Linked DNA regions of Zea mays. The main gene of each other region encodes a partner of the protein of the gene in region 5 in a complex. Links are inferred from orthologs where the notes say so. Each region holds a gene or a part of one and is shown on either strand. Other genes may lie near its edges. The genes, in order: Mediator of RNA polymerase II transcription subunit 33A, Probable mediator of RNA polymerase II transcription subunit 19b, Mediator of RNA polymerase II transcription subunit 21, mediator of RNA polymerase II transcription subunit 8, Mediator of RNA polymerase II transcription subunit 13-like, mediator of RNA polymerase II transcription subunit 18 and mediator of RNA polymerase II transcription subunit 14.

Evidence for each region.
Region 1: Mediator of RNA polymerase II transcription subunit 13-like (region 5) and Mediator of RNA polymerase II transcription subunit 33A share a complex: the UniProt entries of both Arabidopsis thaliana proteins name them as parts of the mediator complex. The link is inferred for Zea mays from reciprocal best matches to the Arabidopsis thaliana genes GCT and RFR1.
Region 2: Mediator of RNA polymerase II transcription subunit 13-like (region 5) and Probable mediator of RNA polymerase II transcription subunit 19b share a complex: the UniProt entries of both Arabidopsis thaliana proteins name them as parts of the mediator complex. The link is inferred for Zea mays from reciprocal best matches to the Arabidopsis thaliana genes GCT and AT5G19480.
Region 3: Mediator of RNA polymerase II transcription subunit 13-like (region 5) and Mediator of RNA polymerase II transcription subunit 21 share a complex: the UniProt entries of both Arabidopsis thaliana proteins name them as parts of the mediator complex. The link is inferred for Zea mays from reciprocal best matches to the Arabidopsis thaliana genes GCT and MED21.
Region 4: Mediator of RNA polymerase II transcription subunit 13-like (region 5) and mediator of RNA polymerase II transcription subunit 8 share a complex: the UniProt entries of both Arabidopsis thaliana proteins name them as parts of the mediator complex. The link is inferred for Zea mays from reciprocal best matches to the Arabidopsis thaliana genes GCT and MED8.
Region 6: Mediator of RNA polymerase II transcription subunit 13-like (region 5) and mediator of RNA polymerase II transcription subunit 18 share a complex: the UniProt entries of both Arabidopsis thaliana proteins name them as parts of the mediator complex. The link is inferred for Zea mays from reciprocal best matches to the Arabidopsis thaliana genes GCT and AT2G22370.
Region 7: Mediator of RNA polymerase II transcription subunit 13-like (region 5) and mediator of RNA polymerase II transcription subunit 14 share a complex: the UniProt entries of both Arabidopsis thaliana proteins name them as parts of the mediator complex. The link is inferred for Zea mays from reciprocal best matches to the Arabidopsis thaliana genes GCT and SWP.

The regions. Positions count from the first base shown.
Region 1 is NC_050097.1:165,234,306-165,238,366, forward strand, and holds the start of Mediator of RNA polymerase II transcription subunit 33A, read right to left. Parts: upstream 2,801-4,061; 5' UTR 2,653-2,800; coding exon 2,333-2,652; intron 1,701-2,332; coding exon 1,590-1,700; intron 853-1,589; coding exon 508-852; intron 1-507. UniProt on the Arabidopsis thaliana protein: Component of the Mediator complex, a coactivator involved in the regulated transcription of nearly all RNA polymerase II-dependent genes.
Region 2 is NC_050096.1:177,736,240-177,740,353, forward strand, and holds the start of Probable mediator of RNA polymerase II transcription subunit 19b, read left to right. Parts: upstream 1-1,314; 5' UTR 1,315-1,542; intron 1,543-3,697; 5' UTR 3,698-3,734; coding exon 3,735-3,765; intron 3,766-4,114. UniProt on the Arabidopsis thaliana protein: Component of the Mediator complex, a coactivator involved in the regulated transcription of nearly all RNA polymerase II-dependent genes.
Region 3 is NC_050099.1:37,998,873-38,002,606, reverse strand, and holds Mediator of RNA polymerase II transcription subunit 21, read right to left. Parts: upstream 2,249-3,734; coding exon 1,955-2,248; intron 1,312-1,954; coding exon 1,240-1,311; intron 1,143-1,239; coding exon 1,091-1,142; intron 1,020-1,090; coding exon 943-1,019; 3' UTR 933-942; intron 759-932; exon of another isoform or gene 756-758; 3' UTR 501-755; downstream 1-500. Other genes in the region: putative X8 domain containing family protein isoform 1 precursor, read left to right, coding at 1-106, 202-227. UniProt on the Arabidopsis thaliana protein: Component of the Mediator complex, a coactivator involved in the regulated transcription of nearly all RNA polymerase II-dependent genes.
Region 4 is NC_050102.1:151,801,048-151,805,300, forward strand, and holds the start of mediator of RNA polymerase II transcription subunit 8, read right to left. Parts: upstream 2,801-4,253; 5' UTR 2,667-2,800; coding exon 2,428-2,666; intron 2,275-2,427; coding exon 2,150-2,274; intron 1,168-2,149; coding exon 1,043-1,167; intron 941-1,042; coding exon 757-940; intron 625-756; coding exon 520-624; intron 203-519; coding exon 135-202; intron 1-134. UniProt on the Arabidopsis thaliana protein: Component of the Mediator complex, a coactivator involved in the regulated transcription of nearly all RNA polymerase II-dependent genes.
Region 5 is NC_050104.1:30,378,979-30,382,478, reverse strand, and holds part of Mediator of RNA polymerase II transcription subunit 13-like, read right to left. Parts: intron 2,844-3,500; coding exon 2,765-2,843; intron 2,476-2,764; coding exon 2,167-2,475; intron 2,101-2,166; coding exon 2,014-2,100; intron 1-2,013. UniProt on the Arabidopsis thaliana protein: Component of the Mediator complex, a coactivator involved in the regulated transcription of nearly all RNA polymerase II-dependent genes.
Region 6 is NC_050100.1:126,532,858-126,536,803, forward strand, and holds mediator of RNA polymerase II transcription subunit 18, read right to left. Parts: upstream 2,801-3,946; 5' UTR 2,411-2,800; intron 2,217-2,410; 5' UTR 2,207-2,216; coding exon 2,171-2,206; intron 1,404-2,170; coding exon 1,304-1,403; intron 1,231-1,303; coding exon 1,173-1,230; intron 1,105-1,172; coding exon 748-1,104; intron 646-747; coding exon 543-645; 3' UTR 279-542; downstream 1-278. UniProt on the Arabidopsis thaliana protein: Component of the Mediator complex, a coactivator involved in the regulated transcription of nearly all RNA polymerase II-dependent genes.
Region 7 is NC_050097.1:176,303,064-176,307,286, forward strand, and holds the start of mediator of RNA polymerase II transcription subunit 14, read right to left. Parts: upstream 2,801-4,223; 5' UTR 2,307-2,800; coding exon 2,052-2,306; intron 1-2,051. UniProt on the Arabidopsis thaliana protein: Component of the Mediator complex, a coactivator involved in the regulated transcription of nearly all RNA polymerase II-dependent genes.

The DNA.
Region 1 (4,061 bases), on a different chromosome or scaffold from region 5:
TTGATGTTTACATTCACCCATCAGTTCATCAGATCATGACAAAGCTCGAGTCCCATGGCTGCCGTTTTTATCAAAACTTTTCTTGGCTATTTAAGAGGTAAGGCGAATAAAATACCACAAGCATAGACAGTTGTACTTTTTTCCTTTTGCATAACCCTAAGTGCTTCTAGAACATTATCTTAAATGTTTGCATTAGAGAAAATACACAGAATATTCTATGATACATTGGTTATGTTACTGGCAAAATCTTGAGCAATTATTTGTAGCTCCCCAAACCCAAATCCCACACAAACAGGAATAAACCAAGGCTTCCTCCATAAGCTTGAGTGAAGTTTATGAGGTCATGAGCCTATGAGATGAAGATCTAGTTTGTTATTTGACTAATATATTTGAAAACAGATTACTAATGACCAATCAGCAAAAAGATGAATTCATCATTTCCAAATGCTCAAAAATAAAGACCTGAAACAATTCAGTAAAAGAGTACTTCAAGTTGAAAAGACATACATGTTTTCGCGTGCCAATGATAGGATACGAGTAATTACTTTATCGCGAAGAAGATGCTCAATGAGCTCCATAGTTGTTACAGTGTTCATCTTCTGTAACTTTTTGATCTTCTCAGTTCTTTGTTCAGTAAAAGTTCCTTCAAATGTGCTCACATCTTCAGGCCTTGTTGGCCATTGAGCATTCTTCTCTGGAGTTAACTCTAGTAGGCCCTCATCATCCAGAACAACATCAATCAACTGCCATATAATACAAAGAATGAAATGCACAACAAAAACCCCTGGTTCACATGTAGAGATGCCAAATATCTTGGAAAGTCTAAGATTCCGCTCTATTATATCCATGATCCTGCAAACATTAGAGAGGCTTTAGCAAGGATCTCTTATTGCTCCAGCAAATTTAACACTGCAAGACAGGCCCTTTTTTCAATTGCATTTGAGACTTCTATAGGGATAGAGTGCATGAATAGATAACAGTGCAAGGAACAAGCTTAAAAACCACATGGAAGCACATACACTCTTACTTCCAAAAAACAATTTAAAGTTATAGAGCAATAACAGTGCAAAGTATTAGGAAGTGAAGAACATAAGTAATGTATAAAAGATATATAAGAAAATTTCCAGAAGAATTTCGGCAATAAATGCCGCCTTGACAAATTCAAGAGAAGTTGCATGCATTACTGCAAGACAAGTAGACTTTCCATCATATAAAAGTTGGGGCCCTTAGTTGGAAATGACAGATATGACCACTAATCCACTACAGAGACATCGCACAACAAGGTGTATATACATGTGTAAACCTTATTACAATTACAAACACCTGAAACTGAAATGCTTATTTTAAGGCCATTAAGATATGACCACTAATCCACTACAGAGACATCACACAACAAGGTGTATATACAAGTGTAAACCTTATTACAATTACAAACACCTGAAACTGAAATGCTTATTTTTAAGGCCATTAAGAATAATGCTAAATTACATTGAACACTACACCTATTACTCTGATTCTCATTCCAGACCACTGACTTGAGCATAGTGTTAAGAAAATACAGGGAGCAGTCAGAGAGGGGAAAGGCACACTTTCTGAAATTTGCTGCTTTCATCTGATGATGGAAGTTGAACCCATGTCTTTTCAAGAGCTCAAGGTAGAGTCTATACTCCATTGGCCTGGAAAGCCGGTGAGGAATTACCCTGCAGGACCCGAAGAACAAACGAAGTCCATAAGAATAAACATTGAGAAAAGTCCTAACTCCATCATAAGGTCACACACCACACAATCCAAGCACGTTGCACGACAGCAATACCAGCCAGTGAAATAATTAGTACTAAGTGGGATTTGCCACACGCTAATCTAACTACTTTTCCAGTCCCAAAACATAGGTCAAACTAACCGTGTTGGCTATTACAAGACCCTGTTTCTCTTGAAAAAAAAAACTGGACGAGGATTGCAGTGAAGCCCTGATTAGCCTACCGACTGAGTGTCCAACTGCTTATATATTCTTAAAACAGGCATTTCTCCCATGGTGTGATCTACCCACATTGTCATTTGGCAATGCATTGACACATGACACTGCCACACAGCGTATTTCCGCCCCCTCAAATTATCGGGGCGAAGCACGTCAGCTTCCTGGTAAAACTCGTGTACGGGCAAACACCTGACCGGACACGTCGTAAAACTGCTTGCGTGCATTCGAGGTGCAACTGATTCGATTTAGATCCCCGACAGCTAAGCGCTGCATTCCGCCATTCCGATCCTACCAACCGCCACGGACCACGCCACAGACACAACGCACAAGCCGACGCCACGAAGCACCGGACCGCACCTGGTGGAGAGGAGCGCGAGGAGGAGCGCCGGGGACGCAAGCCGCGCCGCGAGCGCGGCCTCCGCGTACTTCCAAGCGGCGGCCGCCGGGGCAGCCCCGCCACCGCCGCCGCCGCCGCCGGGGAACAGCGCTCGCGCCAGCACCTCCGCGAGCCCCGCGGACCAGGGCACGTCCTCACTCTCGCCCGCCGCCGCAGCGGCCGCCGCCACCCGCGCCGCCCACTCCGGCGGCGGGCGGGCCTCGGCCTGCGCCGCCTTGGTATACTCCGCGGCCCACTCCAGCCACGGCGCGGAGGACGGTGGCGGCGCCGACGTGGCCATGGCCGCGCGTGTTCCCCCCCGCCCGTCAGTGGCGGTGGGTGCTCCTGCCGCCGCGTGGAGTGCCGTGCCGGTGAGGAGAGAGAGAGAGAGAGGCTGCTGGAGTGGTGTCTGCTGCAGCCCTGCAGGTGCTGTGCTGCTGGGTTGGTTTGGTGGTGGTCCGATCGCCGATGATGCTGATGGCGTCCCGTTGGTGTAACCACCTCTCCCCCCAGTCCCCCACCGCACCACCTCGCGGTGGGGCCGCCGCTTCAGGATCTTCTGCGTGACCGAGCTTTCCAACCAAGAGAAAATGGAGTCGCCAGGCTACCACTGGCCGCAGCGGATCCTGGAGGTACGTGTGGTCCCACACCAAGTGGCGTGGTGGTGCCATTGCCGTGATCCAGCCCCCACCCGTTGACACGTGGTCCCGGCGCCCTTGACTTCGTCGCTCGCGGTTTGGAAAAAAGCTGCTGCTGCAGCCCGCGCGCGGCGGGCCCCGCCGACCGACCGTCCGTCCGGCAGCCCAACTCGCGGCGCGGTGGCCACGCCGGCCGTCGTCCTGTTCGGATTGGCTGGGTACTGTGGCGATGCGTCAGGCTCGGCCCTCGGAGTTGGGCCGTTGAGTTCACGCTCACCTACTACGGCGTCAGTGAGTGAGTGGGAACTGACAGTGACACAGCCTGACCACTTCACCTGCAGATATGGTACTACTTTTTTCTGTCTCGCTCTCCGCCAAACAAATCTCTCTCTCTTTTTAGTACTAGTAGGAGAAGACGGTAGGTATGCGTGTGTTCCGAATTTTTTGCATTTTGGTCCTTCATCGGAAAAAAAATCACATTTAGACCCTAGAAAATTTTAATGTCATTTTTGACCATTTACTCGGCGCCGTAGCCTGTGGCGCCGAGGTAACACAGCTCGGCGCCATAGGCTATGGCGCCGAGGTACGTGCTGCGTTGGCACAAACGAATGTCGTGGGGCCGACGTGGTACCGAGCTCGGCGCCATAGATCATGGCGCCGAGCTCTGTTCTGTATAGAAAATTTGTCTAGCTTAATTGGTAAAATACAAGACTCTTAACCTTGTGGTCGCGGGTTCGAGCCCCATGGTGGGTGGTTTTTAATATTTTTTGTCTTTGTCACTTATTTGTTTTTTTTGTCCATATTTTTCGTTTATGTCGCTGATTTGTTTGTCCTGATTTATTTCTCATCCAGTTTTATTTTTGTGACTGATTTATTTATTCGTCCAAATTTTTTTATCCAGCGAGCACAGCAGCTGTGTGCCACAGTGCTCATAAGCCGTCAACTTCTCCCCTTGTTTGCTCAGCTAACCACAATAAAAATCAAATGAGAACACTCTTACTTCAATCGTGATCAAATAAAAATATTATATTTTTATTAAGTTCTTTTGAACATAAATTTTAAATACATAATA
Region 2 (4,114 bases), on a different chromosome or scaffold from region 5:
ATCTCACCTTAGCCCACCATTCTCAAAGTCCACAACTTGTAATCTCATCCCAATACCAAAACCATCACAGGACGTAGGGTGTTACGCCTCTCGCGCGGCCCGAACCTGAACAAGCTTGTGTGTTTCTCCTGTCGTGCCACCGCACGAACCATCGAGTCATGATCGACGACGCCGTCCTGCCCTAAAAGCATCACGAGGGTTACCCCATGGTGTGCGGTCGGGTAACAAACACCGACACGGGTCAGCCCTTTCCTTTTGCGGGTTTGGTCGTCAGAGACGCAGGCGTCCGTTCCGTCTCGCTGGGTTGCTCGGCGGGGACTTGACCATCCGTCCCGCTTCGTTGGGTTGCTCGACAGGTCTTGGTCGTCCGTCCCGTCTCACTGGTTTGTTCGATGGGGGCCTTGGTCGTCCATCCCGCCTTGCTGGTTGCTCGATGAGGTCTCCTTAAGATACTCGGTTCCTTGGTACTCGTCAATTTTCGCATTCGATTTTAATATAGATATCAAATATATGTATGGGAATTCAACTTTCAATATTTTTCTCTAACCAACTATAGATTTGTATTCAACGAAACCGTGGAATATCCAACACTATCTATACTCGTAAAAAAAAAATCGACGAAACCATTTAAAATGTATTATTATCACTAACAACAAATGATTTTAATTTTAAAAACGCTACCAGAAAAAAATATGTACATTATTCAGAATACTACACAATGATAAATTTAATTTAATTTTAAAAGACTAATTATAATCACATTAGATTACCTATGTAATAAATACGTTATATCTATATGCATTAATGTATTTATTTTCATTGCTAAAGAATATATCTTCATTTATTAATCATATATGCTTATAACATATATATATATATACATACAATATAGTTATAATTTACTTGAAATATAAATTTTTATTGACTATAAATTCGTCGATGAAACAAAATTATTATATATTGCGACACTATGTTCCAAGATGGAAACTTAAATTTAAACTATTTATTTTATATTCATATTATTATATTTATATTTGATATTACCTTCGTTCTCGAATATTTGTCGTCGATTTGTTTATTTTTAAACTAAAACATGACAAATAAAAAAGAATAAAAAGAATGGATAAAGTAGTATTTATACTCGTATTCTAGTTAAAATTATTTGTATATGATAATATTTATAATAATATTCAAGTTAGAATATGATAAATAATAACATCCGAATTTCAATTTTATTTCTAAAATTCTTTTGGAAAAATGGAGAAGAAGCCACATCTGGGCAAGTGCGGGGGTCGTAGGGGTTCCCGATCCTTCCTTTCCCACTTCCCCTTTTTTGCCCGCCCGCTACCCAACCGCCGCCGCGGTTCTCGCTGCCAGCGACGGACGGGCCACACCGCGCAGGGGCTCAGCCCCGCCACCCACCTTAACCCCGCCGTCGGGAGGCGTCGTCCCCGGCCCGGCCCGGCCCGGCCCTCGCCCTCTACTGCAACTGGACTGGCGCGTAGACCTGTCCCCGCCACGAGATCGTTCCGCCCTATGTCGGTGAGTTACCCAAGCTTGCTCCGGTGTGCGGGGCTTCCTCACTGCTGCGGCAGTTTGAATTGAGAACCCTAATAACCTCCGGTCACTCAGGCGCGCCCGCTTCGTGGCGCTGCTGCGGTGCTCCCCTACTTAGCGCGCTCGAGTGCTCCACCCGCCTCTAATGTGATTACTGATTAGGCTCGTAGTATCCAGCGTGCAGGCGCAGCCGGGCAGGCTCACTTTATCTGCCTTCGGTGCATCCTGGCTGGCTGCACGGGTGTTCTCTATAATCAGTGCCCCGACTCGATCCCCATGCCCTGCATCCCGGATACACTGGTGTTTCCAGGGGGAGGGGCTGTCTTGGACACACTGCTGTTCCAGGGGTTGTTTCTGGACCAACTGAGTTCATGTGTTGCAACTGAGCTTCTAGCCATGCTTCCTGCCAGTTGCGGATCCAGGATTCATAAAGAGCCTAGGCTAGTCTATGACCAACCAATAACTACGAACAACTGCATATATACAATGACATGCATAAATTTGTTTGACGCCGACAAATATTTTTCTGAATGTATTACCTAATACGTATGCAAACATTTAAAATAAACTATAAAGAGATAACAAAAAAGTGTTCACAAAAATAGAAGATATTAAATGGTTTGCATTCCGAGATGTAACGATAGATAATATATCATAATTCATAATAGGCTGGATTGGTCCTTCAATATGTATGATCTTCTAATTCGGTCTACAATTTGAGGAGGATAGTCACATATTTGTAACAAGGCTTCATGTCCCAATCACTTGATGTCAATATAAAAAAATATTGAACAGTCTAAATCTTCCGGACTAACAAGTAATAACGCTACAATACTATAATTAGTTAATAAGAACAAAAATGCACATTACATAAGTTTAGATTGAGAAATTGAGAAACGATAGCAGTGTTGGGCTGGGAGCGTCACGTAATTTGCATGTCACGTTTGGGCCACGGTCTTTTCCTAGGTCTGGACCGTAAGTCCATGATCAGAAGCAGACCCACGAGGAGACAGATCAACAAGCTGTTGATGTCCACTTGATCCCGTGCAGAAGTGGCATCACTTGATCCACCTATGCACGAACCTACTCGATGTGCAGCACCGGCACAAACCAGAGCCCGGGCACACGCCTGCCCTGCCCAGGAGCTCTATCCGCCTCTGCTTCCTGCCTATTGCCATTGGTTGCGATGCTGGGTTCTGGTCGTAGTAGTTATGATTGCCTGGTATCCTACGTACATTGTCAGAATCATTTTGTATTGGTCAGTGATCCTTTATGTAGGTGTGTTCTCTCTCGAGTGCTCTTTTTTTTTGCCACTTGTGGATTTATGGTGCTTGGCAGTTTCTCCCCTTTATCACTAGTAACTGTACACGAGGTTGGTTGGGTGTGAGTGAGTGGAATCCCACAGACATGTTTGATTTGCTAAAGTCGCAGTACACACACAGACATATCTACAAAACAAACATACATGTTAACTCCCACGCATGATTTGCTAAAATCACAACACTTTACACGTGATAATTGATATGTAATTCCATATTATTTCAAATAAGACAGGCAAAACATGTTCATTACTTTTGATGTTGACACCATATATGGTTATGAATTGTCTTATCGATGTTTGCTTGGCCATGGGATTTAACAGGCCTATGTGGTGTGTAGATCAAGGTTATTAAAACGGTAAAACGTTGAACGCTCATGGGTGAAATTTTGACTCTTAAACGTTTAAACTTTGTTTAAACGTAGTTTTAAACAACACAGGAAAAATACCAATACATCATAATTTCAGACAATAATATGAAGTTAAATACCAAAATAGAGAGGTTAGTGGCTTACCAAAACTTCACCCATGAGCTGGATTGAACTTCAAAAGTAACTAATAGACTGGGCCCAAAAGTAGCTAATGGTCTAAAATGCATAAAAACACTGCGTTTTAGAGTTTAGAACGCCAAAACGCTAAAACGTTGTTTCAACCTCTAATTAGAGTTTTGACGTTTAAACGTAGTTTAAACATCGTTTAAACGTAGTTTTAATAACACTGGTGTAGATATGTAGTAGTGTATATCGTGTTTGTTCATTGCAGAACCAGTTCACTTTACCTTTGCACATTTGTCGTTACATTTTTTTTGTAATCGAACTTCAGGTGAAGATGCTCTTTGCATAGCTCAAGCTGCAATCTGATGGACCCTGATGACAAGAAGTTTGGAAATGGTAGGGTTTGACTAAGACTCACATAAATGAATGAAATGCACCACGGTCCACGGGTCCTTAAACTATTTCTGCATTGTCATCTAAGCCCATGAACTCTGAAATTTATCATCCGGATCCTTCAACTTTTCAAGTGGTTCATTTTATGGTCACTCTAGGTCCAACCATGGACTTGAATTTACACTTCAAACGAATCACTTGAAAAGCCGGAGGACCTAGCTGATTACTTTGAGAGTTCATGGACCCAAATGGGAATATGGGGAAGTTTACCCCCCCCCCCCCCCTGTGGTTCATTTCACTCTAAATATTTATTTGGTGGACAAGCAATTTTCAGAGATGAAATTGTTAAAAT
Region 3 (3,734 bases), on a different chromosome or scaffold from region 5:
CTGTCGCGGGCGTCGGTGGCCATGAACGCCTACTACCAGGCCCGGGGGAGGAACTCGTGGAACTGCTTCTTCAACGGCACCGGCATAATCACCATCACTGACCCCAGTGAGTGCTTCCTTGCTTGCTGTGAGTGTCTCATTGCCCGTGAACCGTGTTGGGGGAGCTGACACCGGATGATGGATCATTGGATCCTCTTGCAGGCCTTGGCACCTGCAAATATGCTTGACACGACGGGCTGCTCTGCTGCTGCTGTGCTCAACGGACGATGAATAAGGCTGTAGGGGAATGATGCATCTTTTCCTTCTCTTTGTTTTGTTATTGTGTCTGTGTGAGTGAGCAGGGAGTATCCTTGCAGAACCAACCAGTATCATGTCTGAGCACTGTAGAGAGAATTTCCGTGCTTTTATTTCCCAAATACAGTTCTACTCCAGGCCAGTGGCTGGAGGGGAGTTTAGGAACAGGTGTCAAAGGTCTCAGGTACTGAACAAATACCAAAATATAGAAGAAATCCCAGAGGAAGCCAGGTGCCAGATCCATTAAAAAGACCACCACAGTTCAAGCGTCAGTTCATACTAAAAACATTGCACCTTACAACCAAAGGTCAATCCTAATCCGGCAGATCAGAATGCCAGTACACAAAAGCTAAGTGCAATTATTGTTCACTAGTAGAGAATCTGAAAAGACGGAATATAAAGTTCTTACTGGCATTCATCCTCCACACTCCATCCACAGGAACAGTTTCTTTTCAGCAAACCTGCTATGGCAGACATTGGATTTACGTCAACACAATATCTTATGAGCTAGATCGGTTTCCAACACTTGATGCCAAATACATACAAAACCAAGAAGTAACTGTTGGAGCCAAATTAAAAGAGAAATTGACTTTGACAGTGCATTGATAAGTTGTAGGAAGAAATTCATCTCAACTTACATTAACGTAATTAATCTAGCTTCTTAAAATTTATGCAATTGTCTGTTGCTTCATTAAACAGCACCTCAACCTGCTTCAACTCCCTTTCTGTAACGCAATGACATCAGTAATTAGACATATAATAGTAAGAACTCTAGAAACAGTGGGGATCGTGTTACCGGCAGCTTCAAGTTGCTTCTGGAGCTCCAGTCCCACGACTTCATTCTCTGCCTGCAAATTTCAGATTTTCATACAGTTTATTTGGAGTAGGAGTTTGGCAGATGCCCATCCTGTGCTCGATGAATTAATCTGACTGTCTGATATCTACCTGTAGCTCTTGGATTCTTTTCACTTGATCCTCTTCTGATGATAGTGGCACTGCTGCAACAAGTGCATCAAACTGCATAGAAGGCCATAATTGTTCCTCATTTAAGGGGAAAAAGTTGGAACTGCAGCAAGCATAATTTGAACTAAAGTTTGCCAGTCTTTACATTTCAAGTTTTCAACCATGGTTAACACAAAGTGATCTCCCTCACTCCCTCCCTCCCGTATGCATCACTCTACGTCTGTACGCTGTTGTTGGGATAAACATCTTATCTTAGGAAATGGAGCAAGAGATGAAGATTCTACGTCTGTACGCTGTTGTTGGGATAAACATCTTATCTTATGAAATGGAGCAAGAGATGAAGACTCTACGTTATGTACATTGTTGGGATAAACATCTTATCTTATGTAATGGAGCAAGAGATGAAGATTGTTCTGTACACTGTTGGGATAAACATCTTATCTTATGCAATGGAGCAAGATATGAAGACTAGTAAGTGGCAACACGGTTTCATTGTTTGTCTCCACATAACGCGGGCAAGCAAGCAAAAATTAAACAGTTGGTCCTTCACTTATTCGCAGCATCAGACTTACGAGTAAAACTACGAAGCGAGCCGAAACTTTCTACTTAACCACACAAAGATATTTTGGAATCACCGGGCGGGCATTTGGTCCAGAAGATGGGGACACCGAGAAGAGAAGTGGGGCAGGGTACCTACCTTCTTGGCCGCGAGGACGAGGGCGCGGCTCATAGCCTTGGGTTGCTCGGTGAGGTCAGGCGCGGGCGGCTGCGCCTGCGCCTGCGCCTGCGCCGGTGGCGGCGGCGGCGCGCCGGGCTGGGCCTGGACCTGGGGTTTGGAGTCGTCCTCGGGCTTAGGGTTGGGGTTGAGCGGGTCAGGGTAGCTGCTGGAGAGGCGGTCCGGCGGCGCGTCCCTCTGCAGCGTGCCGAAGGTGTTGACGGCCAGCACGGCCATCTCGTCGAGCTGGTCCTGCAGCTGCGTGATGATGTCCATGCCGAATCCCCACCACTCTCTCCCTCTTCTCCTTCCTCCGTCCCAGACTTGCAGGACGGCGGCTTTATTGTAGCAGGCCGATTTCATCCAGGAATGGGTCTGCAGGATCCAGCCCACGTAGCATGGACCAGGCCGGATCTAAAAAATGTATGTGCCGGTATTCAAAAGATGCTCGCTCATATTCCTGGGATACCACCAAGTCTTCCGGTCACCACACATTTGCAGAATGCTGAGCCATCGGCAATTTTACCATTGTCATTTATAGGCTTCATTAATATGACGTCGGACCCTAAATTATAGACACAGATGATTCTATCAGTTATAGATATGGGATAATATAATAAAGTCAAAACTGAGAGTGACAAAATTATAAATTGTTTGGCACCAAAAGGAGCGCGGACGGAGGCCGGACAGTCCGCGGTCCGGACAGTCCGCGCCTGTGGGCCGGACGGTCCGTGCGTGCGCAGAGTAAATTAGGGTTCCGAGTTTTGTGCTATGTTTGTTAGCTAAAATCGCGGGAAAAGCTCGGAAATTAGTTTGTAAAGGGTCCAGCCCCCTCCTCTATAAATAGAGAGGTATACGGCCGATTTGTAATCATCAATCGAATCAATACAACTTATATTTCACATTTATTTCCTGTACAATTAGGAGTAGTTCTAGTCTAGTTCTAGTTTAGCCTCTCGATCCCCAAATCTTCCGCCTCTCCTCGACTCTACGTCGATTAGAGAAGTCTAGGTCAGTCTACCCGAGCCTAGACACCACCTAGGATCTCTCCTCCCCGACGGGGTCCCTCCCGGGAGCGAGATCCAGGCGCCGCCGGCGATCTCCCGCCGCCCCTGCGCACGCGCGGACCGTCCGGCCCTAGGGCGCGGACCATCCGGCCGTCAGGCAGGGAACCTTAGCTCCTGCGCCAGGTCGCGGACCGTCCGGCCCTGTGTCGCGGACCGTCCGCGCCTGACCAGAGAGCACCACCGCCTCGCGCCAAGTCGCGGACCGTCCGGTCCTGTGCCGCGGACCGTCCGCGCCTGACCAGAGAGCACCGCCGCTGGTTTTTTTAAGTGATTGGCGCCTCCAAAAAGGTGTCAACATACTTTTTGGCGACTCCGCTGGGGACACAAATATAGACGCATCAAATCGGCCCTCAATGGCCGGTTCAAGAGATAGCTCTAATATTTCCCCAAGCAACATCATAGAGCCGACTTAGGAGACCTTGCCGGCTGACGAACAGCTCCAGTTCGAGGAGCACAAGGAGCAGATGATCCAGGAGGCAAAAGCGAGGTTCTTGGCCAACTTCAAAGTGGACAGGAACAACAAAGTCGTCCGACATCGGGCGACAGATCCGGCTTCACTGCGACCCACGCCAGACATCCCCAATGTAAGTAATACAAACGAGCTGTAATCTCTTAAGAATTATGTAGATGAACAGCGTGAACAAATGCAAAATATCATAGGGGATATGCAAAACGACTATAGGAGATTAGCGCGT
Region 4 (4,253 bases), on a different chromosome or scaffold from region 5:
TATCAACACCATGGGAAGATGACTGATGTCATAAAAACAGAATGAACCAAAGAGGTTTTCAATTCAAAAGAGTGATAACAATAGAAGATAGACCCTTTCTAATATCATAATAATAACTCAGTTATAACAGAAACCTGAATCTGATTTCCCTGGCTGTTGACACTATTAGGTGCAAATGTTGACATATTTTTGGGATAACTACCTGCAAATACAAATAGAAATTAGATGTGCATTTGTCAAATACATCTCCAATGCAAATGCCAAAGAGTTAAGCATACAAGGAACTTCTACGGCACAAATCTCCCATTAATATGGCAAATGTTAAACATATAAGGAACTTTTACAGCACATATCTCAATGCAAATGGTCGTGATTTTAGCAATTGAGGATAAACACTAATCCTAGCACAATAGGAGTTCGGTCTATAGCGCATGAAAATGAGACAATCGACAGATGTTAAAACTCAAAACGAGGAGAGGTTCATTAAGAGAGTTTAGATACACAAGAAAATCTACATACCAGAACTATCACCAAAATTTTGTGCACCGTCTCCTAAAGGAAGCACTTCTATCAGATGGATAGGAAGAGATTGTGGATGCCTCTGATCTCCAGGTACCCGTAATCCTGGCATTCAGATAATTTTAGTAAGGCTATAAGTATTGAAATTGTAACACAAAATAGAAGTAAAAAGGACTCTTTATTTTGGAAATCTAATTGCATTTTTTATTAATATTGACCAAGCACTATGCCTTTCACCTTCACCATAATTTACTGCTGCTCTAAGTAGGCCTTCCTGCTCCTGTATCTTTGCAGCTTGTGCTTTGTCCAATGTAGGACCAAGATTTGTCCCCTGACGGCTTCCCAGCCCATAGCTCTTACGGCATTCTGCAATTACTTTCTCAGCAGTTTCGCATGCACTCCCAATCATGTCTATTCTAACCTGAAAGGGATGGTACCAGGTTCATTCTAATTAATAGATAGCCGATAAATCAAGCTAGCAACACATGCTATAGGTTTTCATTTTTCATACTAAATTGGTCACCTTTAATTTTTCAATCTGTGTAGGCACAGGTAGATTAGTTATTCCAGACAATAGTTGCTCTCTCTTAGTAGTTTCCTCAACTTCCATCTCAGGCAGCAGTTTTGACGACAGCATTACAGGTAGTACTGCAATATTCATAAGGATTATACTGCAACTCTAATAATAAATAACTGTACAAACCATTGATAGTATGCAAAATGGGAACACTAGATGACAATGCATCAGAACAATTAGAATGACCATTTCCAATACATTTTTGTTGGGTCATTTGCACTGTGTTTATTTATCTCAGAATAGCTTGCCATGAAATTAAGGCCATGGCTAGTAGAAAACTTCAAAAGTCTGAAACCTAATTCAGAATTTTGATTAGTGGACAACTGGAAATAAACATCAGTTGACAGTAAGAAAAATCTTAGATTGAATCTTCATGTGTAATAAAACTTGTGAGAAGACCCCAAAGAAACGGCACAGCAAAGTATTAGCCCAACTGGTCATACTTGTAGTCATCATTCATCCTTACTTTAGAAACAAAATCATAGGGTTTTTTTCTAAAAATATATGGAAGCATAAATGAATCGTATAATCTCATCATGTGTTGAAAATCATAATCTCATTAGGTGTTCACCAATACTGGACCATGAACAACGAAAGACTATTTAGTGTTGGGTCAAATAAGGGAAAATGTTTGATGGATTCCTTTGGACTCAATACAGTTGGTTACATAGCAAAACTTCAACACATAAACTGAGCAAATTTTCATATCAGATAATTTCTTCCCAAATTACATGCTTCCATTGATAATCTTTCAGAGAGGTTGTTGTTCATGTCTTGATTGAACCAACCAAACTTTTACAAACAAGGGCAAAGAACTCTTAATGTCTTTGGAAATTGTTGTCCCTGAACTGGAGATGATTTATTTCATGACTGAATCAGTAAACCATGCAACTAGAACATAACCAACAGATGTTAAACTCCCCTATGTTAGATCAACTAAATATTAATTATGATTTCTAAGAAAACAAATACCATTACGTGATAACCAAATTGACACAGATAACAAAAGATATATGCATATCCATAAAGGGGAAAAAACTCAGAACGGCATACTTGTTGCATTCTCGGCATTGACATTCCGGGGGTACACGACAAACACCTTGGACACATTCTTAATGTCCTCCACAATGTTGAAGAGCTCCATGCTCACCATCGAGAACTGCCCGAGCACGTCCTGCCTGCAATTCACCCAGAGGCAGCCATACCATACCAGTAAGCAATCGCGCAGCGACGCCACACGAGCAGAGGCATCCTAATTAAACCCTAGAATCCACTGCTGCCAGCCATCAGCCGATAGCCAATAAGAGGGGCGGGGCTGGGGATGAAGTTACCACTTGGGGGAGGCGCTGGGATTGGTGCGTATGATGACGTCAAAGTCCTCGAGGATGCGGGAGATGGCCTTGTACAGCCCCACCGCGCGCGCGCGCATCCCCTCCAGGTTCAACTGCTGCTGCACCCCCGCGCTGAGCCGCTCAACCCGGGGAGCTGCCTGCTGGTCCCCTGCGGCTGCGCCCGGAGGTGGCGCGCCAGCGGCGGGTACTGCACCTAGCGCGGCCGCCGCGGGGTCCATCGCCGGAAACTTGCGTTGGGGGCGGTGGCGTTGCGGCGGAATGAAAGGGGGTGGCCGGAGGCGGACTAATGGAGGATGTTTTCAGATCGTTATGGCGGTACCACCAGTTTGCGTGTCTGGCTCAGACTGACATGTGAGGGCCGGGGGACAGTCAAGTCAATTCTCTGCACTCGACAAAACATGTGTCCAGAATCCAAAAGTTCATAATGCAGAGTTCAAAATTTGGAGAAGTCCTAACAAAATGTATACCTAGATGAGATGAGCATACAGAGTCGTCATATATTAAACTATTTTTTATTTAACTAAACTTAGAGTTAATATACTTATACAAAAAGAGACGGTGGTATTTACACCATTAAATTGGTATCACTAAATATGTGTTTTTTGTGTCATCCTCACGAGTATACTGCCTGCAGCATGCTTCAAACTTTACAGAATTTGATGGCACGTACGCCTCCTAGTTCACACAGAGGAGCTGGGGCTAATTAAAGCCAACCTACAAGCAAACGGACTTTACAATGATAGTGTAGCCGATGCCTGATGATGCTAAGTTTGTTTAGCAGTTTAACAGGTATAGATGTCTATATTGGCCGGACAGCCAAATTTATCCGAAGCCTGGTACCAACCCGGCACGGCTCGCTGCGCATCGAGCTCGGGACAGCCCGGCACGGTGGACGTGTCGTGCTTGGGCTTTGAGGCCGGCACGTCGTGCTCGGCCCGACCCAGCACGAAAATGAGCCAGACACGGCGTCTGTCCGTTCCACGCCGCATAACACACATCGGCCCTGCCCCATGACGCACCCCCCCGGCATTCGCTCGCTCGAAACCCTAAACCTAATCCCCTCCCCTTCTCCCGTGGCTCCTACCTCTTGCTCCTTGGTGACCGACGAAATCTCGCCTCTCCCGCCGACGGCTACTGGTGACGGCTACCAGCGACGGCTTGTTTGGACATCTATACTCTCCTCATCTCTTCGCTCATCATCTTCCCTTCCTCACACCCGAATCCCAATAGAGTAATCCCCATCCTCGGCTCCTGACATCCTCTTAGCAGAGGTGTTCCTCCTCGCGGTGGTGCTCTCAAGGCGACTAAGGTGCTCCGGCTGCGCAGGTTATGTCCTGAACCCTAATCTCCATCCCCTTCTCTTGTGTATTAGATCTTGATTGGAATCCCATGGATGTGATGAATCTCCTAGGTATCGCTTGTGTCGGTGCCACGTAGCTGTCCAGGGACCCCAGTCGTCGGCGAGGAGCCATCTGTCTACGGCATGGACGATGACCTTCATCCGACCGTTGTGGACGAGGAGCACCGGCTAGAATATCATAACAAAGCAGAGGATGCCCGGATCCTATTTGGCAGTAGTGTTGCCATCAACATCGATAATGATGATGATGTCCCTGGTGCCGCCACCGGTGGTCAAGCGGGCACAGGATCCACGAGCCCGACACCGACCGGCACAAGCACCGCCGCCACCAGTTCCAGTAAGTGTCCTCTCAGATCTAAAGTGTGGCATGACTTTGATGAACCGACTCACCTTGTCAATGGTAAGATGGTATGGTATGGAGCCATTTGTAAGTACTGCAAGGTGA
Region 5 (3,500 bases):
ACTATTGACAAAATCCGAAAAGGCTTTCTTTGAAGAGGACGCAAAGAGGCTAAGGGAGGGCATTGTCTTGTGTCTTGGGGGAGAGTTTGTCGTCCTCTTAAGCTTGGAGGCCTGGGCATCTCCAGTCTACCCGAGATGTGTTGGGCTCTTCGTATGAGATGGTTATGGCTGCATAAAACTGATCCAACTCGTCCCTGAGCGCAGCTCCTTTTTCATGTGCCTAATAAGGTTCGGGCTTTCTTCTCCACTGTTCTTGTTTCAGAAGTTGGAAATGGCGCCAACACCCTATTCTGGACTGATAAATGGATCTAAGGGCAGAGAATATGTGACATTGCTCCCAGGCTTTTTCAGTGTATTCCCAGGAGGATCACAAAAAGAAGAACTGTTCAGGAGGCTCTCCTAAATAAAAGATGGATCTCTGACATCAAAGGGGCCCTCTCGGTGGGAGTTTTGGTGGATTACCTTTAGCTTTGGAACCTTATCTCTGAAATAGTGTTACAGCCTTCTATTGAAGACAAACATGTTTTCAGTATTGCCCCAGACGGTAACTATTCAGCTAAAGTGGCTCATAAAGGGTTCTTCATGGGATCTGTCTATTTCAGCCACTATCCCGGGGTGTGGAAGACCTGGGCCCCGCCTAAATGCAGATTTTTTTCTTTGGCTCGTTGCGCATAACAGGTGCTGGACACTGACAGGTTGGCCAAAAGAGGGCTTGATCACCCTCTGAAATGCCCCTTGTGTGATCAAGAGAATAAAACCTTAGATCATCTCCTGGTCTCATGTGTTTGCTCAAGGATGTTCTGGTTTCAGTTGCTGAGGACTTTCGACCTTCAAATGCTAGCCCTCAACTTGGTTTGTCCTCCTTCATGAGCTGGTGGGAAGAAGCCTCTTCTTCGGTCAGAGGTCTTGTTAGAAAGGGGCTCAATTCTCTTATTGCTTTGGGGGCCTCCATTATTTGGAACCATCGCAACAAATGTGTCTTCGATAACTGGAACCCTAATGTGTCTTTAGCCATTAGGATGGCTTTGGAAGAAAGATGGATGTGGGAAATGGCTGGGGCTAAAGGCCTTCCCTGCCTGTCTGCCCCTCTCCTTGAGGGCTAGTCTCGGAGGGGGTTTAGACAAGTAGTAGGTTGCTGTTCTCGGATGGATTATTTTGGTTTTCTGGTTTTTCGACCTCCATAAGGAAGCCCGTCTTGTTGTACCTGGCCTTCTTAGACCTTTTTCTCCTTCTTAATATAATGAAACACAGTTCTCCTGCGTTTTTCGAAGAAAAAAAATAGCTAAGAGAGGGTTAAGCCACCCTGAGAAATGCCCTTTATGTGACCAAGAGGCAGAAACTTTGGACCATCTTCTTGTGACTTGTTCTTTTTCAAGAATTTTCGGTTATCAGCTTCTGAGAAAACTTGGGCTGCACGCCCTTGCCTCTCAGTCGACTGTCACCTCCTTCTGGAGTTGGTGGGAAGAGGTTTCAGATGTGGTTTCTGGCCTTACCAAAAAAGGTCTTGACTCCCTTATCATTCTGGGCGCTTGGACAATATGGAATCATCGAAATAAATGTGTCTTCGACGGAAGGACGCCAAGTCTATCGTCAATCTTGGCATCTGCTGATGAGAAGTCGTTGGGAAACAGCTGGGGCAAAAGGCCTATGCTCTCTGGCTGCCCCATTAACTGATTTCTAGGGTGTTTCCTTGTTTATCTTTGATGGATTCTTTTTTGTATGCTAGCTACTGGCCTCCGTAAGGAAGCTGTTTTGTCTCTGGTCTTCTTTAGACCTTTTCCTATATCTTCTTATTATATTATGGGGCGCAGTTCTCCTGCGCTTTTTGAGAAAAAAATGATTGTGAGGCACCAAGTGCAAAATTTTCTTTGTAAGTGCTGATTTTCATGGAGCTCCTCAATTTATAGACAACATGGTGAGTGGACAAACATGTTTACAAATTACAACGAATAATCAATTCTTGGTAGTATTGTTGATACAGCATGCCAAAGAAACAAATAATTTGAGACTGACCTGTTCTGAAAGTAAGAAGACGGAGCAAAATTCCAGAATGGCCATGCCTCCCATGATGAACTTCCCAGCGAGCCCTGTAAACACATTCTGCAAATAACAAAACATAAGCCATGTCCGCTATAATCACTGCAAGAAAAAGTGTAAGACTAGTACCGTTTGCTCGAAAAGCGAACAAATGCTTGATGGACCATAGGTACCAAAACAGCTTCAGGTGGGTAAATAAATGTCCTCTCAAGAATTGGAAGGCCATCAGGTGATTCTACCTTACGCTGTCCATCAGAACCGACCATAGCATCCTTCACTGGATCCAATTCTTTTTTTATATGAATATGCTCAAACTCAGAAACTTTTTTGGCTGAAGCAGCTGGAAAGCCAAGCGCAACTTCAACATAGTAACTTTGGCCTCTCAGCTGGCATACAGTAGGTTGACTAAAACCTGGTAAATTAGGCGTCAATGATTTGCTGCAATTGTTGAAGGAACTTAATGTGAGACAACACTGTCAAAGTGACAATCTGTACATATGGACATCTTTAAAAAAACTGAAATACTGAATACAAAATAATTTTCATAAAAGAACATCTCATGAAACTAATACAAATGCTTGCTTGTAGATTACATTGCAACCATCCAAAAGGCCAAAAGGCACACTGCTCACCAGTGGGGATTAATGATTTTTCTTTTGAGAATACTCGCACACAGATGCAGAATACATTTTTAATGTAACAATAATTTTCACTTCTTTTGAAATACCTTGAATAAACTTGTCGTACAAGATCACTTGGACAACAACCGACAAGCCTACCCAGCATCCCACTAGGAGCAACAACAACTGCAACATTCAATGCAATAATCATGAAATAAACACAAATTACAACTTATATAAATGGTGGAAACAACAGACAAAAGTGAAATTACGCATTAATCAAACAAGTCAAGTGTAGAAAATATAGTAAACAATAGTAAAAATCTTCTTTATTCTTGAGAACTGAGAAGTAATTTAGAAATAAATGGCTTCCTTCAAGACACGACTCCAAACATCACTCACATACTTGTCCTGTTTAAAGAATCAACACTTCCAATAAAGCTAAATCTCTTCTCTCAATGGTACAAACATGAGAGAGACATCCTTGTAAATTGAGCGGTGAAGAACTAATTACTATCCTCATACTTTTCCTTTGTTGTGTGGCTAGGCAAAAGTGTACCTTTTTGTTTATTATTATAGCCTTTCAAGAAGAGATATACCTGCAGACCCTACCATATTGAGTGTTTGCTACATTTTTCAATGCCTAATTCATTTCTTCATTGGTGACTGAAGCCTTGCCGTGGTTGACAAGGCAAGTTAATTTAACATGGTAGTTTTCAGGATATGTTATAATTTTATATTAATATCTGTGCACAAAACCACAAACACACAAAACCACAAACACCAGAATGGAGGGACTACTTCTAAGATATAACAGGTAACTGTTTCTAATTGTAAAGGAGA
Region 6 (3,946 bases), on a different chromosome or scaffold from region 5:
CAATCTTAAGTGTCATACTAATCTCCTGTCAACGTCTCGACCGATGGGTGCATCAATGACTTTTTAATGGGTGGTCTTTCCACAAAGGACATGCCACTAATATTGATAATGTTTACCATACGGATTTTGCATATCATAATGATATTTGTCGTTCCGTTTATATATTTCATACAATTTTTTTACTTCCGTCGCAACGCACGGGCACTCACCTAGTTGAAAAATATATACACATGAGATAAACTTCTTTTTGAGAAAAGAAATTATGGTTTGGATTTTTGAGAAATTTTAATATTGGTAATACTAGATTGTTACACCCTGCAACTACAAGGCAGGGCATTACCCATCAGCAATCATGCAACCAGTCAAACCAAGAGCAAGGTTGGCACAACGATGTGTCAGACATGGACAACACTAGCAGGCAAAACTGACTGCTCAAATGCTCGGCACGAAGAAGGCCACCTCATTAGCCACGCCCACTCATCTCAAAGAACGGACTTTGGCTGTCCTAGCAGCAAGAACGGACTTTGGCTGTCCTAGCAGCATTACAAGGTTTTGCCACCGCCACTTGACATGAGTGAGGCAGCAGCAGCGGCTGCTGTTGGAACGATTCCTGTCGAGTGTCCTGGTTTTGACAGATGCAGCAGCCTGCAGCAGATTTCCAAGGATTATTAAAACCAAAAAGGTGTTTGGTTCATTCTTATATGTTTTCTGATTGTTGCCTCGGAATTCAAGCTTTGGGGTACTTACGGGGCAAGATATTCACAGAACGCAGTGACAGCTGAAACAACATCATTGTAATTATCAGCAGCAGCAGGAGCTGTGATTTCCACTAGCTGTATGGCAGGAGTGACTGGCGTAGCTTCATCGGTTGCATGGAGCCTTGACATCTTGTTAGCAGATGTAACAGTGACAGTGATTTGGGCACCTCGGTGGAAACGAAATGCAAAACCGCTCTTCAAGAGTTCATGGTCTAGCTTGTACCCTAGGGTGTAGAAGTAGTGCAAGACGTTCTTGCTAGCTTTGCTCTCCACAACTGTACGAACCAGAACTGAGATTTGCTCCGCACCAGCACCTCTCATGGCACCACCAACATGTCTTATGGTCCTACAATCTTGTCACAATTAATGATAAACATAACAAAAGGTAGACTTTCAGCAGCTTGTCTCGGTTACCAGGATGGTGTGGGCTGAGCTAAGTCACACAACAAACGAACCTCCGATGGGACAACACCTGTATGATTGCAAGACGTCAGTTAATACGCCACATGTGTAGGAATGGAGGAGTAGACTAATCACAAACTAACCTAGATTGGGCCCACTTTTAAGGCAGAGCTCATGCACCCTAAAACGCTCTTTCGGGACACCAGAGAGTCCCTGGAGTAGAACCTCAAGAGCATCGACATGCTGCAAAATGGAAAGATCAAACAAAGGTTAAACTAATGGCAGAGCAGTACAACAAAGAGCAACTTACATTCTGTGCACAACACATAAACTAGAACATACCAAAAAATTAAGTTCCTCTCTATTGTAAAAGCACAAGGATAGATCATATGTTCCCCCAACTGTATATTAAATGTTACTATTCTGTTAACATGCTGAGAAGAAAAAAAACAAATGAAATCAAAAGCTCCAGAAGTAGTGCCTTAAAGCGCGGAATAAATTGTTGACATTTAGTGGTCTACATGATCTATCTATTTATCACTTCAATAAAATAAACTTTTGTTAGTATTTATCTGTGATGGAGTAAACAGAAAAGTGACCACCAACTGGCAACTATGGATAGTGGCCATACCTAAGGGAGCTCAACTGAACACTAAAATGAAGCTAGATTGTATGGTGCGTAAGCTCAACATTGTGCACTGTACATGTACATCAATATGAGATTGTTTTGTCCACAGCAACGGAATTCAATTAGTAACGAAATGTTCAACAACAAATTCAATACTATAAGTATATACTTACAAATAGATATTAACAATCTATACACCATTCAAAATACTTATCAAATCTAGATGCAAGCAGTGAGAGGAAAAGTTAATGTCTGATCTGCATAACAAAATAGACTGCACTAACGATGATGAAAGAGCTCCTATCTTTCAAATGTTAGTGGAATGCGTGAAAATCAAATTTTACATAAACCATCAGTGCCAACTTGCATTGTGGCACAATACCTGGTTCTCGATGATTCCCTGCACCACGCACTCCATCGATCTTCTACTGTCCCACAATGATTTTGCACCCAAAAAAAAAGAATCACGTTAGTGGATTTGTTATATGTGTATCAGGGGTGGACCAGTATGGCAGTAAAAAACAAAATTAGAAGTTAGTAGACATCAAATAGTTAGGTTAGAGTTCGGGAACTCGTTTTCGCACAGCGGGTAGAGAGAAGAAGGGGGTGGGAGTGGGAATACATTGAGAGCGTTCTTCGCCAGCGAATAGATCAGCGAAGGGCGTGGTGCCTATGGTGGCGACTGCGGTAGCCCGTCCAGTCGTCGCAAAGAGAGAGAGAGAGAGAGAGCGCGCGCGCACGCGGTGTGAAGGTGACGGATGCGGCAGCGGCGGCGGCGGCTGTAGCCCAGCTAGGGCCTGATCTGGGAAGAGGGAGGCTCGATAGGACTGAGGCACTGTCGGCGGTGCGAGCCGTGCGGCGCAGCGTCGACAGGAACAATGGTGGACGCGACGCGAGGAGGGAGACGGGAACGACCGGACGAGGGAGCCAGGCAGTGGACGGCTGGGCTTGAGCAGGGAGGTGGGCTTGAGCTGGGAGAGTTCACAGTCTCGTTTGGAATGATCCAAATTTCGTTTCGTTGACTAATCTTTTATTTTTTATATTGTTATATTTTGAATCAAATCCATTTAAAACGGACTGAAATTTGTTTTTTTGGTTAATAGCGAAAACGAAAAAAGTATCAAAATTTGGTGATCTCGGACAGAAAAGATAAACCGTGGGCTTGAGTCAGGATTGTTCAGCCTAGTCGCGGTGCGGGGGTTGTTCAGCCTTATTTGTCACTTTTTTTATTTTAATTTTGATAAGACCTAATAGGTTACTCTAGATATGTTATCACTTTACCTTTTTATTCCTAAATCACTTGATAGTTTTACTATTTCTTTACATGGTTTTGGGTTAATATTTCATTATATCCATGTTCCAATTATTTTGTTATTTTATTTTTATTCATGTCAAGATTATTATCTTTAATTGGAACATAGAGCTTAACTTGAGAAACATGTGTCACCACAAGAGAGGAATGAGACCCCTTGACTAACTAATTAGGAAAGCTAGTGGAAAACTACCTTACCCGAAAGGGGCAACGGCAGTAAGAGAGTTACATGCAGAGAGGTTCTCGGTTGATTTTGCTGCGATGGCGGTCAGACGGGGGATTCTTGCAAGTCGAAATCTAGTGGAACTTTATAAAGGCCTCGTAGTGTTGCCCTGTCTCGCTTCCTTGGTAGAGGTGTATGAGAGTCGCGATCCCTTGGTAGATGGGTAACATTACTTGTGGATACAGGGTACAGCCTCTGTAGAGTGTAAAACTGGTATACTAGCCGAGCTCATGGTCATGAGCAGCTCAGAACTGTCGCATGATTAATTAATGGAACTTAAATTCAATTTGTCATTTGCATTGCATGTGATTACTTATTAATTTTGTTCTATTATTTATTATGGTTTGGTATTTACTTACACTTAGTAACTGCTAATAAAATTTTGACCAACTTATAAAAGCAATGCTCAGCTTCAACCTTTATTTTGTTGATCAGCCTTACACTTCACATGAACTCTCACCTTTGGTGAGTTCATGCACACTAGTTTCCCCACAACTTGTTGAGCTATGATCATATGTGAGCTCACCCTTTCTGTCTCACACCCCCATAGGAGAAGAACAGGTGGTTCAGGAGGAGGCACACAATGAGGAGTTTGATCTAATCTAGGTGGCATCTCCCAGTTG
Region 7 (4,223 bases), on a different chromosome or scaffold from region 5:
CTATTGGTGCATCTGCACATCTCAGAGGTCGTAATTTTCCTAGGAGAGCTGGTGGTGGGTGTGTGAGAAGGAATGAAGACCTTGAGGAAGAGGAGACTAATTTAGCAAATGAAGATGATGAGGAATATATTCTTGATGATCTTGATGTGGAAGATGAAATTGAAGGAAGCAATAGTGGAAAAGATGGTGACGATCAAGGCGCTATGCTCATGGTCTTAATATCGATGAGTTCGATGATGGTTACTAATCATGCATAAAAGTTGTAACTTGTGTGGTTGAACTTGTGTTGTTGAACTTGATATGTTTCTTTTTATGCTAATGCTATTTGGTTTGTGAACTCAACTTATGTATGAACTTATTCTATATTTGAAATTCTATGTCAAGTCTGAAAAGACGTTTCAACGTTCGTTTAAACGTTTAAACGTTGAAAAGTTGGTTCATAACGTTTTAACGTTTTACCGCTTTAATAACCATGTTTGAAACAGCCTCCTTGCATAATTATGCGAGGGTGAGGCTGTTGAGAATCCCCTTCTCCAGAACCCACATTGTGTTCAGCTTTCAGCACTAGGTACACAGCTGACAGCCTGACATAACAACAAAATTAAGGTACAGTGGGGCATATTTAAAGGAATCCATTGGCTCAGTGGAATGATGTAAAATGCCATTAAATCAACCTCAGTACTTCTGGATCCGTTGAGGAAGTGCTCTTTGGACTAGTTCAGTGCTATATCTAAGCTTGGTTGGGACAAAGGAAATCTTAAACTTTTCATTGTCCTTGTCAACTTATTTTTTACTAGACAGTCTCATTTTTCTGTCCTACGTTTAATTACATTTGTAGCACAGAAATTATATGTCAAGTTGTCAATTAAATTTAAAAGAAAAGGATTTTATGGATGTGAACCAGATAATGAGCAATCTAATAAAAATCAGAATACTTCATCTTGATTTTGTTACAAAACAAAAGTGGCTTGCACGATTGCACTAGGATTAGCTTGCACCAAATATATGCTAGAAACAAATATTTATGACAGCATAACAACCACATTACCACAGTTCAAACCATATAGTGAAATATTACAATTTGAAATGGAAGCAATATAAATCAATGAGACTCCCGTGATAAAAAAAAACTCGGCCGGGGAGGGAAAGACCGCCCTCCCGGTATTATATTAAGAAGAGACCGAAACAATGGTCCCGGCCGAGAAAATCCCCGAACCCTGGCCCCCAATCACTAACGGGCCGGCGTCAACTGTCCACTCTGCAACGGCCCAACCGGAGGGTGGCGCACAGGACATCGTAACCCAAAAGCGGATGGGACACAGCGAGGGGATTTTTTTAACCAAGCCTGAAAATTCGCTCCCGGGGGGAAATCGAACCCAGGACTTGGAGGTGCTACTCGGAAGTCCTTAACCACTAGGCTAGAGGCCCTTTCGCGACTCCCGTGATATATAATGCATTTTCAATGGTTTAATAGTTTAATTATTAAATTATATTTGTTGATTTTACATTCCCCTGATCTATGTGTGCATGGTGGTTCGCAGTTCGCACTATTTCAAGTACATTGTAAAACGGTCTTATTTCACTCGTCGTTTATGCTAGAGCACACCATGACAGCACCAGAAAAATAATATAAGTTTCTAGTGCGAAACAAATTGAGCTTTTTCATAATACCACTGCACCAAAACAAAATAAACAAATCAATGAGTATGCCAAGATTGAACTGGATTACATTTTGTCCACCAAACAATCATTTGTGTCCTACTAGGAACTGGAGTACAGACCCTACAAAATTAGGGGCAAAAATGCTGGCACAATTCATCAACAATCACCAATCTTCACTATCCCACTACACTGCAATAAGACAACAACTATGAATATCCTTCTTTACATGCCACTCGAGCTAGATAGGTGAGACAATGCCACTAAACCAAACTAAAACAGGATATTAGGCACTCACACCAGTCAGATTGAATTCTTAGCATACCTCAGCAGAATTATGACAAGGAGACAGACAAGCAAGAGAAATAGCAAAGACTGAAATTAGGCATCACCTGCTGACACCACTTGGCAAGGACGTGGAGACGAAGCATGCGCTGGCGTGTGCGTGTGATGAACTTGAGCAAGTCAATCTTCTTCTCGGTGTCGGACCGCTGCCAGCTGCCATTGGCTCCGGCGCCGATGCCCTTCCCCTCGGCCTCCGCCTGCGACTTCTCCACGAGCTCCCGCAGAGCGAGATAAGACTCCTCCGCCGCACGCCGCACCACCGCGCCCAGCTCCACCGTCTGCTGCCCCAGCTCCCCTGCCATCCCCGCACGCACGCCCGTCCCGAACAGCTAGGGTTTCAGCGCCCACCACCTACACATTCTCCAGTTCCTTCTCCTAATTAACTCCGCAAAGCGCCGGAGACGAAACTCTAGCCCTGTATCGCCAACGTGCGCACGCGTGGGCCGGGAGGAATCTCGCAGGATTCGCCGCGCCTCCCCGTGAATAGTGGTGGAAGAGGGAGTGGAACTGAAATTGGAAACCACTCAGTCAAGGGTAAGGCTCAGGGAGGGGACCGAGGGTGGCCGCGAGAGAGGGTGAAAAGGAGAGAGATGGTGGAAGCGAGAGACGGAGGTCGGCGGCGGCGAAGCGGCGGCGTGGGTACGGCCTCCTCTCTCTCTCTCTCTCGCTTCTGCGATCGATGAGTTCAGGACCGGCGGAGGGTGCGAGTGCGCCCTAGTCGACGGGCCCACGCGGAACCGGAGGCCTGGGCTAGTAGCCTAAGGGCATGTACAATGAGTATCTTAAGTTGTGTCTTAGAGTGTGTCTAGGGGGGTGAATGTAAAAAAACTCAAGACATGTATCTTGACGAAGACACAGTGTCTTAGCTCTATGTTCGAGACAGGAGGCTAGCTGATTGGTCACTTTAATTTATTGAATGCTCTGATTGGTACAATGAATATGGTAAGACACACGTTTTAGACACGACCACTGTATTGTGTTGTGTTTTAGCTGTGTCTTATACTTGAAGTACCGTGCAGTCGTATCTGGGTTGTACATGCCCTAAGGGCATGTACAGTGGAGAGACACCAAAACGGTTCTCTAAGCACAGGAGACAACTAAGAGACTCTATTGTACAATGGAGTGTCTCTAAACGTAGTCGGTTAATAAATACAGAATTAAATGTATTTGTATAGCATCAGATCGATAGAACAGACGACAAATTCGTACAGTGGGAAGTGAGGCGTTTGTTGTTACTTGGTTTACGAGCCAGAGGCGTCTCTTCACGGAGAGACGGCTCTAAGATTTTTTTGCAAATAACCCCCTAAAACACCTTAAGAGCCCCCATATTAAACACCACTGTACATGCCCTAAGAAATACAGAGGTTATTGCCGAGGAGGTGACTGTCTTTGGAGCATTAATGCAATAATTGAAAGGTATGATTCACCGACTATATTTGTATGTTATGTATATCAAAAACTTTACATTTATTTATCTATTTACGTTATTGCCTTTATAGTGATGTTTGTTGTTATTTTTATAGATGATTATGCTAAATGATATCACATTTGTACATCTAATAGACGGAGGAGGACTAGCACTCTAACAAGTGTTTGGGTAGCTTTAAAAGCTCTTCCTATCCTTGTGAAGAAACCACACATTGGTGCTAAGGAATTACAAAGTTCACTTCAAGATACCTACAAATGCATAATTGCTCATGACACAGTTTGATATGGAAAAGAGAAAGCCTTGAAAGTGTTGTTTGTAACTTGAGAAGAGAGCTTCCAACTATTGTGCTCTTGGAAGGAGGTAGTGTTGCATAAGTCACCTTATAGTGTCATTTGTTGAATTAATGTGGGTCTGGCCCATATTAATATTCAATAATAGTCAATGCTAAAGGCCCATTTTAATGCTACGGTGTACTAGTACTTTAGTATAATACCAGAAGTTTAAGGGACAATTCAATCAACTTAAATAGGTGGTCCGTTGGTGCATCTATTGAGAAGCTGAGAAAAGGATGAAGGACTGCCACACGTGCGCGCGCCGCCGACCGGGCAGGACCGTGGCCGTGGCTAGGGCTGGGAAAAAAGCTCGAACTCGACGAGTGTTTGGCACTTGTTCTCAAAAGCTTTGAATCAAGAACAAGGCAACACAAATGTTAATGGTTATAGACCTTTGTCCTTCATCACATTATCTCCCTTAGGATATAATGATCTTCGGACGAAGGTTACGAAGGACA